Daphnia pulex: one gene and its partners. The main gene of each other region encodes a partner of the protein of the gene in region 3 in a complex. Links are inferred from orthologs where the notes say so. Each region holds a gene or a part of one and is shown on either strand. Other genes may lie near its edges.

What was found.
Region 1: eukaryotic translation initiation factor 3 subunit I-like (region 3) and eukaryotic translation initiation factor 3 subunit G-like share a complex: the UniProt entries of both Caenorhabditis elegans proteins name them as parts of the eukaryotic translation initiation factor 3 (eIF-3) complex. The link is inferred for Daphnia pulex from reciprocal best matches to the Caenorhabditis elegans genes eif-3.I and eif-3.G.
Region 2: eukaryotic translation initiation factor 3 subunit I-like (region 3) and eukaryotic translation initiation factor 3 subunit B-like share a complex: the UniProt entries of both Caenorhabditis elegans proteins name them as parts of the eukaryotic translation initiation factor 3 (eIF-3) complex. The link is inferred for Daphnia pulex from reciprocal best matches to the Caenorhabditis elegans genes eif-3.I and eif-3.B.
Region 4: eukaryotic translation initiation factor 3 subunit I-like (region 3) and eukaryotic translation initiation factor 3 subunit F-like share a complex: the UniProt entries of both Caenorhabditis elegans proteins name them as parts of the eukaryotic translation initiation factor 3 (eIF-3) complex. The link is inferred for Daphnia pulex from reciprocal best matches to the Caenorhabditis elegans genes eif-3.I and eif-3.F.

What each region holds. Positions count from the first base shown.
Region 1 is NC_060023.1:11,177,234-11,180,739, reverse strand, and holds eukaryotic translation initiation factor 3 subunit G-like, read left to right. Parts: upstream 1-1,260; 5' UTR 1,261-1,377; coding exon 1,378-1,397; intron 1,398-1,464; coding exon 1,465-1,505; intron 1,506-1,572; coding exon 1,573-1,811; intron 1,812-1,876; coding exon 1,877-2,044; intron 2,045-2,110; coding exon 2,111-2,261; intron 2,262-2,272; exon of another isoform or gene 2,273-2,381; coding exon 2,382-2,494; exon of another isoform or gene 2,495-2,564; coding exon 2,565-2,695; exon of another isoform or gene 2,696-2,854; coding exon 2,855-2,873; 3' UTR 2,874-2,956; downstream 2,957-3,506. Other genes in the region: tRNA (guanine-N(7)-)-methyltransferase-like, read right to left, coding at 78-215, 275-376, 457-601, 665-818, 883-1,001, 1,070-1,146; flocculation protein FLO11-like, read right to left, coding at 3,093-3,281, 3,358-3,506. UniProt on the Caenorhabditis elegans protein: RNA-binding component of the eukaryotic translation initiation factor 3 (eIF-3) complex, which is involved in protein synthesis of a specialized repertoire of mRNAs and, together with other initiation factors, stimulates binding of mRNA and methionyl-tRNAi to the 40S ribosome.
Region 2 is NC_060026.1:9,963,231-9,967,547, reverse strand, and holds the start of eukaryotic translation initiation factor 3 subunit B-like, read left to right. Parts: upstream 1-1,452; 5' UTR 1,453-1,577; coding exon 1,578-1,710; intron 1,711-1,788; coding exon 1,789-1,984; intron 1,985-2,049; coding exon 2,050-2,356; intron 2,357-2,437; coding exon 2,438-2,833; intron 2,834-2,900; coding exon 2,901-3,148; intron 3,149-3,209; coding exon 3,210-3,454; intron 3,455-3,515; coding exon 3,516-3,685; intron 3,686-3,746; coding exon 3,747-3,950; intron 3,951-4,024; coding exon 4,025-4,133; intron 4,134-4,197; coding exon 4,198-4,295; 3' UTR 4,296-4,317. Other genes in the region: DNA-dependent protein kinase catalytic subunit-like, read right to left, coding at 22-134, 254-443, 514-692, 762-870. UniProt on the Caenorhabditis elegans protein: RNA-binding component of the eukaryotic translation initiation factor 3 (eIF-3) complex, which is involved in protein synthesis of a specialized repertoire of mRNAs and, together with other initiation factors, stimulates binding of mRNA and methionyl-tRNAi to the 40S ribosome.
Region 3 is NC_060019.1:6,193,232-6,196,724, reverse strand, and holds eukaryotic translation initiation factor 3 subunit I-like, read left to right. Parts: upstream 1-1,401; 5' UTR 1,402-1,548; coding exon 1,549-1,551; intron 1,552-1,617; coding exon 1,618-1,864; intron 1,865-1,930; coding exon 1,931-2,213; intron 2,214-2,279; coding exon 2,280-2,481; intron 2,482-2,546; coding exon 2,547-2,795; 3' UTR 2,796-2,933; downstream 2,934-3,493. Other genes in the region: regulator of telomere elongation helicase 1 homolog, read right to left, coding at 1-12, 72-185, 257-583, 668-958, 1,025-1,126. UniProt on the Caenorhabditis elegans protein: Component of the eukaryotic translation initiation factor 3 (eIF-3) complex, which is involved in protein synthesis of a specialized repertoire of mRNAs and, together with other initiation factors, stimulates binding of mRNA and methionyl-tRNAi to the 40S ribosome.
Region 4 is NC_060026.1:11,480,286-11,483,588, reverse strand, and holds eukaryotic translation initiation factor 3 subunit F-like, read left to right. Parts: upstream 1-1,500; 5' UTR 1,501-1,552; coding exon 1,553-1,661; intron 1,662-1,833; coding exon 1,834-2,122; intron 2,123-2,189; coding exon 2,190-2,281; intron 2,282-2,339; coding exon 2,340-2,590; intron 2,591-2,653; coding exon 2,654-2,737; 3' UTR 2,738-2,784; downstream 2,785-3,303. Other genes in the region: transcriptional adapter 2-beta-like, read right to left, coding at 47-288, 355-593, 657-813, 872-931, 1,076-1,173, 1,247-1,253; cyclin-dependent kinase 1-like, read right to left, coding at 3,021-3,273. UniProt on the Caenorhabditis elegans protein: Component of the eukaryotic translation initiation factor 3 (eIF-3) complex, which is involved in protein synthesis of a specialized repertoire of mRNAs and, together with other initiation factors, stimulates binding of mRNA and methionyl-tRNAi to the 40S ribosome.

The DNA of each region.
Region 1 (3,506 bases), on a different chromosome or scaffold from region 3:
ATGTGAATTCCAGCAAACAGTTCCATTGGGAGCAATACAAGTGACGAGCAGGGAACCGGCAAACAAATTTGTATACATTAGCACTTGTTTTCTTCAAGTACGAATGGATCAGGAATTCTTCTGAATACAGCAAGAAATTTATCACCACTATTTCGCGTGACTTTTTTGCCCTCCTCCGTTGATTCGTACAGTTTTGGAACTACAATGTCTTGATCCTGATACCGCAAAAAGAATTTGTAGTTTTATAGCTATTTAATTATAAAGTATAACTAACCAGCTCTTCCTGGGTTAGTCTCTTAAATAATGGATGTTGGTCTAGATGCATAACCATCCATTCATGAAGATCTTTAACATCAGTAATTGTGTAAACCAAACCCTAAAGTAAAATTTAATTAATCACACAAGATATCTACATCAAGTAGCTAAAGAAGGGCCGTTCTAGGCCTGCCTACTTACCCCTTCAGCCAAAACATAGGCATATTCAGCCAAGAGAGTGTCATTGATAATACGCCACTTGTGTTTGGCCTTCTTAAAATGAGGATCAGGGAAGAGGAAAAACATTTTTGTCAATTGTCCTTTATCGAAAAAGCAAGGGAGGTACCTAGTAGCATAGAATAAATTAAGCAAACATGCCCAAGTAAATGAACAAAATAAATGTAAGTACTTCATGGCATTGCTTCTTAAGCAGGCAACATTTCCGTAATCACCTGGATGCAAAATCCTCAACGCCTTTATGCGATCCTGGACATATTCTGAAACTTTCAAACGAATCTCCATTCCTAACATTAAAGTCTCTGGGAACATGGTGGATAATGATACTGTTAAAAAAAAATACAAAATTAATTTTCCACATATTTTATTGGCAAAATGTGATAAAAATACTCAATAAACCGCCATAGCCACATCCAATATCAGCAAACTGAACTTTGTGTTTCATTATTCCATCTTTGCTGAATGTAGGATAGAGCTCATCCCATTTCATGTCATTGGGAGAGACAGGACTTCAAACGACAAATTGGGTTAGAAAATGACTTAATGATAAATCGAAAACTGGAAATAAGATACTCACTAGTCAAAACAGTGATCTGCGATAGGATTGGAGTGTGCTCTTTGTCGATAATATTTTTTCTGTGGTAAGCTAGCCATTTTTGCTGTATTCGAGTTCCACGTGCCGGAATCTCATAAACGGCGGGATTGTATTCGAAGAAGAGCAGACGAAATTGTAAAAGCAGTCAAAATTACGAAATGAATTTTTCAAAACTGGCAATGTCGCTCTACACACGTTCTAATGGCTGCTTGCTGACACATTTCTGCAATAGCAGTGAATTTTCTACTTTTTGATTATTTACTTGACGTAATCAATCTTCTCCAAGAAAAATGCCGGTTGCTGATAATGAGTAAGTGAAATGAGACAAATTAATGTGCAAATATTAAAAATACAACACAATCTTGATATGATTTCAGAGTTAAATCCAGTTGGGCCGATGACGTTGAGGATATCGATGGTTAGTAATGCCGCTTCCCCGTAATTAATGTAAGATTTTCTTTAATCATGCCGGTATTATTCCTTAGGTCTCGGTTTACCCCCTAACACTGAAGAATACAAAAATGGGCTGAAAATTGTCACAGAGTATGGTCTTGATGATGATAACAGGAAGTTCAAGGTGGTGCGTACTTACAAAATAGAGAAAAGGTATGTAGCTAAAGCCATTGCCCAGCGTAAAAGTTGGCCAAAATTTGGTCTTTCCAAGGAAGATAAACCAGGACCAAACCCTGCAACAACAATTGTATCTGAAGATGTAGCCATGCAGGTATTTCTTTTCTCAGTTGATCTATCAAAACCGTTGGATGCTAATTACCATTTTTACTTTGACAGTTTATTACGAACAAAGAGGATCCTGATAACAAGGAAGATGACCCTCTTATGAAGTTAAAAAGCATGCAGAAGGGCATTGTTAAGTGTCGTATCTGTAAAGAGGACCATTGGACAACACAGTGTCCTTACAAGGACACACTTTTGCCTGTCCAAGAAGCACTCAATAAGGTAAACACATTTTCTTTATTTTGAATTGAACTCTTGCTAATTTTGCTCTATATCTCTTTAATTAAGGCTGAGGAGAAGAAGGCCGGCCCGCCTCCTGCCGCAGCTGCTGCTGGAGGACCGCAAGCCAAGGGTGGTAAAGAAGGAAGCGCCTATATTGCACCTGCACTTCGTGATGGTGGCAACAGAAAAGGAGAGACTATGGCTATGGGTCGACGAAGTAAGATACAGTTTCTTCATAGTAGTTTATTTCATATTATTAAAACCACCGGAGAAGTAATAGAAAACATACATAGGAAAAACATTATTTAATGATTACCCTTTTCTTTCCCGATAACAGCTGATGAAGGGTGCACTGTACGAGTAACCAACCTCTCGGAAAACGCTCGCGATTCCGATCTTCAAGAATTGTTCGGCCGTATTGGCGAAATCTCACGCATCTTCCTCTCAAAGGTTAGACTCAAATTTATTCACTAATTATCATTTTGTAAAAATTATGGCACCGCTTCAAACTGAATTTTAGGACAAAAACACTGGCCAATCCAGAGGTTTTGCATTTGTCAGCTACAAACGACGAGAAGACGCCGAACGAGCTATCAAGACCTTGAATGGTTTTGGTTACGACCATCTTATCCTGACTGTCGAATGGTCTAAGTAAGTTAGCTCTCAATTCACTTAATTTCATTCAAAATAGTTGTGAGCTGAATTTGAAATTCATGACTGGAATTTTTAAAATTTTATTTTTTAACAATTTAGTTCTTTAAATTGACGAGTCAAATGAAACTGATCTTTCTCTTTTCAATCGTTTAACAGACCATCGGGAACACAGTGAAAAAAGCCTAAAATTCCTTCATCAAATATTGGATGCTACGATCATGTAAAGGGATAAAAAAAATACACGCAAATGGATTCCAATCAAGCTCTTCAACCCTCTATCACAGACATGAACCGAATTTTCACCTTTCTCTTTTGTCTTTCTAAGCTAAACATCAAGGGAATGAGGATTACCTCACCTAAACATTATTTTTAAGTGAAAAAAAAGTAAAGTTATCTAGTTTTGCGCTGATTCATCCTCGGCTTGACGTGCAAGATGATAGCCCCTGCTGTTACTGCTAAAGCCTCGTCCTTTACGTTTTGCCAGGTACCAGGCTACAAAAAAGACTGTCGTGATAAAAATGGTGCATCCTAGAACTATGTACATCAGGGAAAGTGGATTCGACTCGATCAATGCGCCTGTTACCTGTATCAACACGGTAAACAAAACAGACGGGTTATAAATACGTAGTGGAAATCATTAGCATTTAAATTTAACGTACCGTTGGGAATATCATCTCTCCCATTGAAGAAGCAACTGAGAAAGCCGCAGAAATCCGGTTAGTTACCAGCAGGTGTGTTTCGGTCCATATGAAGCCTGTTGCGAAGGTTGAAGCCATTCCTACGCCAACCAAGGCCGAACCGACGTACA
Region 2 (4,317 bases), on a different chromosome or scaffold from region 3:
TTTACGTTAATGTTTAGTTACCTCCTTTTCAAGTTCATAAAGGAGTTGGTTAATGATGCGACTGGCCTTTTCCTTCAGTGTACTAGGAAAGTACTGGGCCAGTCTGCCTAGGAGTACTAGGAAATTCATTTTCGCTAAAGTAAAACATAAATATTATAAATAACCATAGAAATACATATCTATGCATACACAGTAATAATACAATCTGCATAACAAACAGGGTAATTATACAATAGTCTTTTTAATTAATCACCTTTGCTTGAACTATCATCAGAAGATGTAGCCATTTTTTCAAAAAGCATATTAGAAAGGGCTGGCAAATTCAGTTCTTCTAATATTTCTGTTGGTGAAGTTTGAGCAGTAATAACAACTTGGCAAAGAACAAAATAACAAGCTCCTCGTATCTTAGAATTTTTGGAGTTCATGTACATCAATGCTAAATTCTTAAGGTAAATGAAAGTTATACTATTAGGTTTTTACACATAGCTAGGTAATATTAATTATTTTCCATACTTTAATAACCACTAAATGGTTGCTCATGGATTCTCCAAATTTTTCCAGTAAATCACCCAAAATTGACAGGGCACAATTTATTATTTCTGCAAAGTTGTCATCCTTTTGAGAATCTCTGAACTTGGACAACAAGGAAATTAATCCAATTTCTTTGTTTAGTAAAGCCGAGACAACAGAATCTTTAGAAAAAATACAATGTAAATGAATTGATTAACATGTTTTTGATGGGACCAATATTTGAAACCTACTGTCTTTGGTTTTGGATACAACATCTTTAATATCCTTGATTTGCTCCAGCATATCGCTGCACGTTCCAGAATGCATCTGAAATAGATAACCTTCCAATACGCTGTCCATTTTATATTCCTCGATGTTACCGACAACCGGACACTTTTAAAAGGCCAACTTCTTCTCGATTATTCGCAATTTTTACGACTTTAAAACTTTAATCATACATATTTAAATGTTAAGACAAGTTTTCAATTGTAGTGGTTCTTCAAAATTTTGCGATCAACGTTAACTCACGTAGGTTATAGGCCTAAGTGATGTTTTCATCCCTCCCGGGTTATGATGATTCGGCTGCTAGAATTGTGCTTTTGCGTAGGCATATTTGCCATGACTGATAGTTAGGCGTAATACATATTTGTAAAATATTCGCTATCATGGTTTTAAAATATCATTACGTTACTTTAAAAATATTTAAAAAAATTATTACCAACTCATTCCTCAAATGGGTATAAGGATTCAACTTTTTTGGAAATGAATAAATGTAGGCTATTTTCTGAAAACAAAAAAAAATCCAATGTATGATTATAATGCGAATAAAAATCAAGAAAAAATAATAATAATAAAAAATCTAAATTATTTTCCCTTCAGAAGATCCCGTTCTAGCTGACAGGCTAGGCTAGTCACCAAGTTACCTATGGTGTTTGGTGAATGGTGATTGCCTGATTGGTGGATGGTGGTTGCCTTGGCCTTCTCGATGGTAGTATTATTTGTTGAAATCTGGCACAGGCTTCCGCCATTAAAGACTCGTGTCCGGTGTGCAGTGCTTGTTTTTCATCATGGCTCGACGAAAAGAAAATGATCGAGCTCAGCAAAATAACGATGACTCGGATTCTAACCCAAACGATGAATTAGAAGACGAGCCCAACTTCGATGATCCGGAAGGTTATGAGGACGATATTTCTGAAGAAGGTACCGTTTGTAACTTACCTTTTGCCATATGGCTTTCCTGAGCATGCCGGCATTGAATCTTGCTAACTGTCAATGTAGATCTTATAGGTGACCTCATCAGGCAGCGTCCGAAAGAAACCGACGGAGTCGAATCAATTGTTGTTATTGACGGTGTTCCTCAGGTTGGTACTGAGAGGATAGAAAAACTTCAAAATGTCCTGAGAAAACTATTCCAAAAGTTTGGAAAAATAACTAATGAATATTATCCTCTTAATGCTGATGGATCAACTAAAGGGTAATTTATTAGTTTTTTTTTTAACTTTTGTGTCAGCCCAATTTTAACATAATATACTTTTGAAGCCATGTTTTCATAGAGTACTCAAATGCCAATGAAGCATTGGAAGTTCTTAAAGGAACTAATGGTTACAAGTTCGACAAAAATCACACCTTCACTGTGAACTTACTTACTGACTTCGAAAAATATAATGACATTCTTGATAAGTGGGAAAATCCAATTCCTCAGCCGTTTAAGGAGCAAGGATGCCTTCAATACTATCTTCTTGATCAAGACGCTTGTGACCAATTCTCAGTTGTGTATGAGCAGGGAGACAAAGTTGCTGTTTATTTGAACACTCAACCTGAACCCTCTCTGCTGGAAGAAAGACCTGTGAGTCACTTCACCTTTATTATTATTATTATTTTTTTTTTTCATATTAAAATTTTATCTGACCAATAATTATCTTCACAGAGATGGACTGAGACTCTAGTGCGGTGGTCACCTCTTGGCACCTATCTAGCCACTTTCCATGCAAAGGGTATAGCTCTTTGGGGTGGTGAAAAGTTTCAACAAATTGTGCGCTTCAGTCATCCAGGAGTGCAATTCATTGACTTCTCACCATGTGAGAAGTATTTAGTATCTTTTAGTCCACTGGCTGATTCAAGAGCAACTGATGAACCACAAGCCATCATCATTTGGGACGTGTTGAGCGGTCTTAAGCGACGAGCTTTTAATGCCGATAAATCTCAAGCCCTGCCCATTTTTAAGTGGTCGCATGATGACAAGTATTTCGCTAGGATGGGAATCGACATGCTTTCTGTTTATGAAACCCCATCATTTGGCCTTTTAGACAAGAAGTCGATCAAAGTAACGTACACGATTTACAAAATCTTCTAATAACCATTTCCTAACATGCACTCTTACATTTTGATAGGTTCAAGGAATTCGAGATTTTGCCTGGAGCCCAACAGACAATACGATTGCTTATTGGGTCGGAGAGGAGAAAGATACTCCTGCTCGCGTCACACTTCTTGAGTTGCCAAGTCGCAATGAAGTGCGAGTCAAAAATTTGTTTAGCGTTGCCGACTGTAAAATGTATTGGCAAAAATCAGGTGACTATTTGTGTGTGAAAGTCGACCGCTATGCCAAATTAAGGAAAGATAAGTCCGATATCAAATACAGGTAATGAGATGCCACTCCTTCAATTAATAGATATAAAAGCTAATTTTCCCCCCTTTGATAGCGGTATCTACTACAATTTGGAAGTTTTCCACATGCGAGAAAAACAAATTCCAGTCGACTCGGTAGAAATCAAGGAAACCATTCAAGCTTTTGCGTGGGAGCCAGTTGGTACTAAGTTTGCCGTCATCCACGGTGAGCCACCGAGTACTTCTGTTTCTTTCTTCGAAGTTAAAACTGGACAAACGCCTACGATGGTTAAAAAATACGAACGTAAACCTTGCAACCAGTTGTACTGGGCCCCTTCTGGTAAGAAAACATTAAATTTAATGTTAAAATTCTAAAATCCTTACTATACTTTATCGAACAGGCCAGTTCATTGTGTTAGCCGGCCTACGTGCCATGTCTGGCACATTGGAATTTGTCGACACCCATGATTTTACCGTCATGAATACGGGCGAACACTTCATGGCTACTGATGTGGAGTGGGATCCAACCGGTCGGTATGTCGCAACTGCTGTTTCCTGGTGGGGTCACAAGGTAACAAAAATCAAGCAATGTATTCATTTTTGACAATGTTTGATCTCTTGTACTTTGACAGGTCGATAATGCCTACTGGTTGTGGTCCTTCCAAGGACGCATTCTCAAACGCGTAGCACTAGACAAATTCTGTCAGCTGCAATGGAGACCTCGACCACCTTCATTACTTCCAGCCCAACAAATAAAGGACATTAAGAAGTCTTTGAAGAAATTTAGTGCCCAATTCGAAGTGAAGGATCGATTGAAAATGACTAAAGCTTCCAAAGTAAATATTTTTTGAATGTGTAATTTTTGGCGAAAGTATTTTCTAAAAATCTGACATTTTCAAACTTCACCCAGGAATTGGTAGAAAAACGCCGCAAACTGATGCAAGAATATGAAGACTTGCGTAAGCAGAAGCAAGAGGACTATGACGCTCAACGTCGCCGTCGTATCGAATTGCGCAACAGTAAGTTCTTAAACCTAGTTAATAAGTAAGCTTATCAGGATTTAACTCACAAATGAATTCACAGACGTGGATACGGATGAAACTGAAGGCCGTGGAGGGGAATTAGAAGAGGAGACAGTCGAGTTTTTCATTAAAGAGGAGACGACATTCATCGACGAGTAATTGCCAAGACTGTAAACAATCA
Region 3 (3,493 bases):
TTTTTTCATGACCTGGAGTAAAAAGAACGCTAGAAGAATATACACCACATAATAAAAAGGATGTCGTTTACCTGGGTGACTTCATCAACACAAAGGGCTATATCTAAACTTCTAAGTTCAATAGATGAAGATTCTTCACACATTTTCTCAACATTGTGGGCCTCATCAAATATAACAATATTTCCCTAAACAAGCACAAAAAAAGAAGTTAATATTTCATGCACCTTTAAAGACTACTAAATGTACTGGGAATTACCTGGAGTTCAATGTTGTGAATTTTTCTCACTTTAGGATCAAGAAGGTAGTTGTATGGCATAAAGATGATGTCAGCTACCTTACGAATTTCTTTTGTCATAAAATAAGGGCAAGCAGAATGTTTTTTCCCCAAAGTCACCAAGTCTTCAATATCCAATACATCCATTTTGAAGTCTGGTTCCTCTTTCTTAGCATCTAGATTTGTGTGGAAGTAGCAAGTACGAGTAGTAGTTCTAGCATGGCACATGTGAAGCTTTACAGCATTGTTTGTTTCCTTTGACACTTCTGGATGAATGCACAGTTGGTCACGAGATCCAAGGATGCATACCTTAAATGAAGAAAAATAAAATAAGGGTTATCAAAACCCATTTCATGTAGGCAAATAGCTTTAATGGAAGAAGGAAATGCTCACCTTCATATATCTGTAAGAGGACCGTTTTAATTCAGAAATGACCTGGCTGAGCTGAGAATGAGTTCTGGATGCATAAATGATTTTGGGTACTCCAGCTCCAGGAGTAGCAGCATCTCCCCATCCAAGCCCAGTTGCATTACTTAATTGATTTTTAATATCCACTCCCATATCTCCAGCTAATTGACCAGACTGTATTTGTGCTTTTCGTGTTGCTAACCAACCCAATGTCGAACAAAGTAAGCACAAAGTTTTTCCTGTGCCAGTAGGAGATTCCAACAAACCATTTACACCCTATTTAATCAAGAATAACAAAATAAGAGCAAGGTGTCCACTGACCGATAACGCAACACTAGTTACTTTTTGAAGACATTCTATCACACGCTCCATGAATTTCTCTTGTACATCATAAGGCTGGAATGGAAATTCAATGGGAACATTATTTAAAACCAAATTCACCATTCTAGATAAATAATTTTGGTAATTGTGTTCCACGAGACACACGCAATGTGAAGGAACACGCAATGTGAGGGAACCCGCCAAAATAGTTGAATGAGAATAGCAGACGATGTTAAAACTGCTTTAACTTCCCTAGCGAGTAGCGCCCTCTGAAACAAATCGAAAAGTAAAATTATTTTTGCTAGTGTCATTTTAACGTTACGCGTGATTAAAGAATAAAAATTAATTTTTTTTTTTTTTGTATAAAGTTTAACAGTTTTGATAAGATTAAAGATGGTTCGTTTTTTGGTGGGTGGGTGGCAACACTGTAAAATCGAGCAGGGCCGGCAGACGAGTGTTGTAAAAACGTCGAAAGGCCTCAGTCGCCCCACGCCGAAAGAAGTGTACGTCATTATTACAGTTGTGACCAATTAATATAAACAAAAATGGTAATTTTCAGTGCATTTCTGTTATTTAATTTCATTATATTAATCCACTGTTATTGTTGATCACAGAAACCTCTTATGCTTCACGGTCACGAGCGTTCAATCACGCAAATTAAGTACAACCGGGATGGAGATTTGCTCTTCTCGTCAGCCAAGGACAACCACCCTTGTGTCTGGTATTCAGTCAATGGAGAACGATTGGGTACCTACGAGGGACATCAGGGTGTCGTATGGGCGATTGATGTTGATTGGGAAACTAAACGTTTCATGTCTGGTGCTGGTGATAATATGCTCATGATCTGGGATGTCCAAACTGGTATGTTCAGTGAGAAATGACCCCATTGCGTAATTACGACTTAAACTTTTCTTTGTTTTTTTTTAGGCAAGGCTTTGGGTAAAATTGAAGCCAAGACTTCAGTTCGTACATGCAACTTCAGTTACAGTGGAAACATGGCCCTTTACTCAACAGACAGTACTATGGGTAACCCTTCAGAGATCTTCATCATTGATGTCAGAACGGTTGACTCTTCCTTCAGTGAAAATGACCCCATCCTGCGAATTCCATTAACTAATGCCCCTAAAGCCACATCAATGGTTTGGGGTAATCTAGATGAGGTTGTTATTTCTGGTCACGACAATGGTGACTTGGCCCAATGGGACCTCAGGTGAGAATGACATTGTCGTAACCTTGAGTGCTTAAAACTAAATCCTGTTTATTATTTATACTACAGAACTGGCAAGAAGAACAACCTGGTTTCAGAACACGCCAAGTCTATCAACGACATGCAGCTGTCCAAAGACGGAGCTCTCCTCATCACTGCATCCAAGGATTGCACTGCAAAACTCTTTAACGCCGAAACGTTAGAGTGCCTAAAAACTTACAAAACTGAGCGACCCGTCAACAGTGCCGCCATCTCACCCATCATGGATCACGTATGATCCTTGAGCTTCTAAATGATTCAGTTGATCGATTCTAACTGTTTTCCTTCAATCTTCAGGTGGTGTTGGGAGGTGGTCAAGATGCCATGGACGTAACGACGACCTCAACGCGTGTCGGCAAGTTCGACGCCCGTTTCTTCCATCTGGTTTTCGAAGAAGAATTCGCTCGTGTCAAGGGCCATTTCGGTCCTATCAATTCTCTGGCCTTCCATCCCGACGGAAAGACGTACGCCAGTGGTGGTGAAGATGGTTACGTTCGTTTGAATCAATTCGACCAGTCTTACTTTGACTTTAAATTCGATTACTAAACCAGAAGAAAAGCGAAAAACCTACGAAGAACCCAATCCATCATCTATGAACACTTGTCTTGTGTTTATTTTTTGACCACTTTCGTGTACATGGGCGATATAAGAGAAGGTATTTGAATACATCATGTTGGAAAGGTCTCGAGTGAGAATCTTTTTTGGGGGGAAAATTTATTTCTCAAGAGAGGGCACGAGACGAAATTAAGCGTATACAAACAGGTTCGAGTCGCCTGTTTAAGAGGAGAAAACATAACTGATATTGTTTACAAACAATTCTTTTGAAATCTTTTTCTTCTGACGAAGTCCATTACAGGGTTTACGATATTCTAATCACCTACTGTTGCGCATCCCAAGAAAACTTGGCATTTTGCGAAGAGAAAGAGCTCATCAGTTTCCTTCTGGTAGAAGTTTTAATGGGAGACATTCTTGTCCCAGCTGAACGCATTGGAACTTATTACGACTCTAGCGTCTTGCCAACATGGTCGGGACTATCTCGAGCGACAAGGAATCATTGAGAAGCTCGCCGGTAATTTGGACGAGGCTCCTGCAGATCCTCTTGCCTCGCCTGCTCGTTCCCGGGCTTATGAAATTTATCGGTTCGCTGGCTCATTTTCAACCGGATGTATTAGCCAGATATCCGAACTTTACAAATACGATGTTCAACTTGATCGACGACTCCGACGTTTCAATGAGGATGATTG
Region 4 (3,303 bases), on a different chromosome or scaffold from region 3:
ACTGTTTGTAATGAATCTATAGTTAACTAATTGAAACATGAATTACTTTTCCTTTTGGGACTCCCTTTTTTTTGCGGCAGTCGTAGGTTTTTCCTTCTCTTTCTTGATAGCGTTAAAAAATTGGGATACCAGTTGAAAATCCCGAGCAACCCGCTTCCTTCGGGCTCTTTCCCTCAGGCGGCGAGTATACATATCGACTTGAGCCAGTTTTAGAGCCAAATCAATATCCTCGTCGTCATGATTAATGGCAAGATGAGAAACAATTGCCTCAGCTTCATTGTCATGTTCCTACAAAAAATAAAAATAATGTTGAAGTTTTTAAGACAATTTGTTTCATGACAAATTAAGACCCACCCTTTCAAAATCATCTCTTTGAGGCATGTATCCAAGTTCTAATGTTTCTTCAGGTTGAATAGCTAAAGGTGGTAGTCGTGATGTGATGGATGGAGATAGAGGTGCATTATCTGGACAAGTGTGATCAATTGCTGCCAAGCGAGACTCTCCACTTGCGAGAAGTCCATTTGGAAGCCCTTGCCATGTTAGTTTACCTATTGTTCCTGTGACAAATCTATCACAGTACTGTTCTTTGCATTCTGTAAAAAAAACATAATTGGAGAGTAACTGATGATAAAATCCTGATAAAAATCAACAATTACTTTCTGAATCCCGTGTTTCTACATGTTTCGCAACATCTTCCCAATTTCCATAACCAAACTGTTCTATTGCATCAAGTAACTGATAGTCTTCCCTTGCAATCCAGCCACCTTCATCCTCCCTTTGTTGGTCAGGAAAAATACTAAAAGTACCAGGATCCTAGAAATTAAAAATAAAGTATTTATTGAGAGTTTGATAGAAAAACTTAAATACTCACTATTAATCTATATCCATGACTACTTTTATGTGGTCCAATTTCACAGCCAAGAGAGAAACACTAGAAAGAAACATTGCAAAACTGTGTTATTAAAATAATTCAAATTCGCCGCCGACCAACCGGCAATACCACTCCGGTGGGCGTCATAACAAACAACAAAGAAGGAAGGGGAGGGATTCATTCAACGAAGATTTTATACCACACCTGTAAACAAAGTTCGTAATCGACACAAACGTTACATCGGATTCGAATGCCAAGGATGTCGTCCTGACAGTAGCCACATCGATGCTTCATAAATAAATCTGAGGAATGGATACAGAAAGAAAGATTTTCAATTTTCGAAAATAAGGATTCAACGAGAGCATTTTTTTTTACCCGCCATCTTTAGCCTTCCCTTCCCATCAAGAACAACTAAGCTATGCCAACGCTAGCGAAAGCATTGGTCGCGCCCTCTGGTGACTGAGAAGTGAGAAGTCTTTAAAAAATAATTAAAATGACGTGTAAAATTTATAAACAATGTACACCGTACATTTTATTAAATTAAATTTTTTTTAATGTATAACGAGACGTGTTTGGTAAATAGAAATAATTCAACGTATTATATATCACCAATTGGCAACTAGTTCGTGTCGGCTTTTTCAGCTCCAATGCGGTAGTGGTCTGCAAAAAAAGTCACGCAAAATGGCTCTCAATCTGACTGTCAAGTTGCATCCTGTTGTATTATTTCAGATTATTGACTCTTATGAGCGTCGTAATCCTGATGCACAGAGAGTAATTGGAACGTTGCTTGGTAACATACAATTTAGATCATCCGTTTGCTTTCGCGTTTTATTGTTTTTTCGACTGTTGACACGTGTATCGGTATCGAGTACCTGACAAAATCTTTGGATTATATACCTAAATTCCTATAATATGCGAAATCGAAGTTGTGATAACTCATTTTTCATATTGATTTTTTCCAGGCACATCAGATAAAAATGGTGTGGAAGTGACCAATTGCTTTTGTGTGCCTCACAATGAATCAGAAGAAGAAGTGGCTGTGGAATTGGACTTTGCCAAGGATATGTATGACTTGCATCGTAAAGTTAATCCCCAAGAAAGCATTGTAGGTTGGTGGGCAACTGGTACTGGAGTCACATCTCACTCTGCTCTTATTCATGAGTACTACTCCAGAGAGTCCTCCAATCCTGTTCACATTACAGTGGACACCACATTGCAAGATACCCGTATGGGAATCAAAGCTTATGTCAGGTACATGCTATTAATTCAGTATGATACAATTGCTTTGAAAAATAATTATCTTTAAATTATCATCTAGTGTCCCAATGGGTATCACAGGCAAAACTATGGGATGCATGTTTGCTCCTGTTTCTGTTGAGATAGCATGCTATGACCCAGAAACTATTGGATGTAATTATAATAGAAAATGTGTATGTATACTGGGAATTAATCTTTGATTGTTTTTCAGTAAATGCCTGCCAGAAAACCAAAACCTCGGTTAAACGTCAAGCGGGCATCGCTTCGGATCTTACTCAGATTGTTGAAGCCTCGCAGCAGATGGAAAACATGCTGGACACTATCTTGGCTTATGTTGACGACGTAATGAGTGGCTCCAAAACGGCTGACAACACGTTTGGTCGTTCTCTATTAGATATGGTTCATTCGGTACCTAAAATGACACCCGACGAATTTGAAGAGATGCTTAATTCAAACCGAAAGGTAGAAAACATTACCCAATATTTACTTATTTAATCTAATTTTTGTAAAACTTTATTAATTTAGGATTTATTGATGGTATTATATCTATCACAACTTACCAAGACTCAACTGTCGCTGAACGAAAAACTCACATTGTTGACAATTTAATTCAGAACGTTGATATAAAAAATAAAAATGAACATCTCCCAATTAAATTACAATTTTCTGATGTAGTCCTCGTGAGCATATTTATTAGGAAACTATAGTATACAGTCACACGTACACAAGGGGGAAGAAAATTTCTTCGCTACCAAGGAAAAGAATCACACCCATCTTCTCTCAGAGAGCAAAAAAAATGATGATTAGGAAAAGCGAAAAACAGAATTTCAAGAAACGACCATCAGGAAGTTGGCCAGGTTTAGTAGCTATCGTTTACATGAGGAATGCTTAATTAAGCAGGCACATTGGTGGGTAAGATAGATTTATCCAGATCGGTAAACCAAGCATGATCTAAAGCATCCTGAGCCGTGATACGAAGGGCTGGATCGTAAATGAGAGTTTTTTGAAGCAGATCAAATCCAATCGAGTCAAGTTGCTTCACGGAATTTTGAAGGTGGTAAGTATTCCAATTAGGGAAAGTAGGTTTATAGTCGGGCATTTTTGAAACGCCTGGCCACATTTCCTCCGTGGGCGTCTTCATTACTCTGTGTTTCAAATAAAATAGGAACAAATGT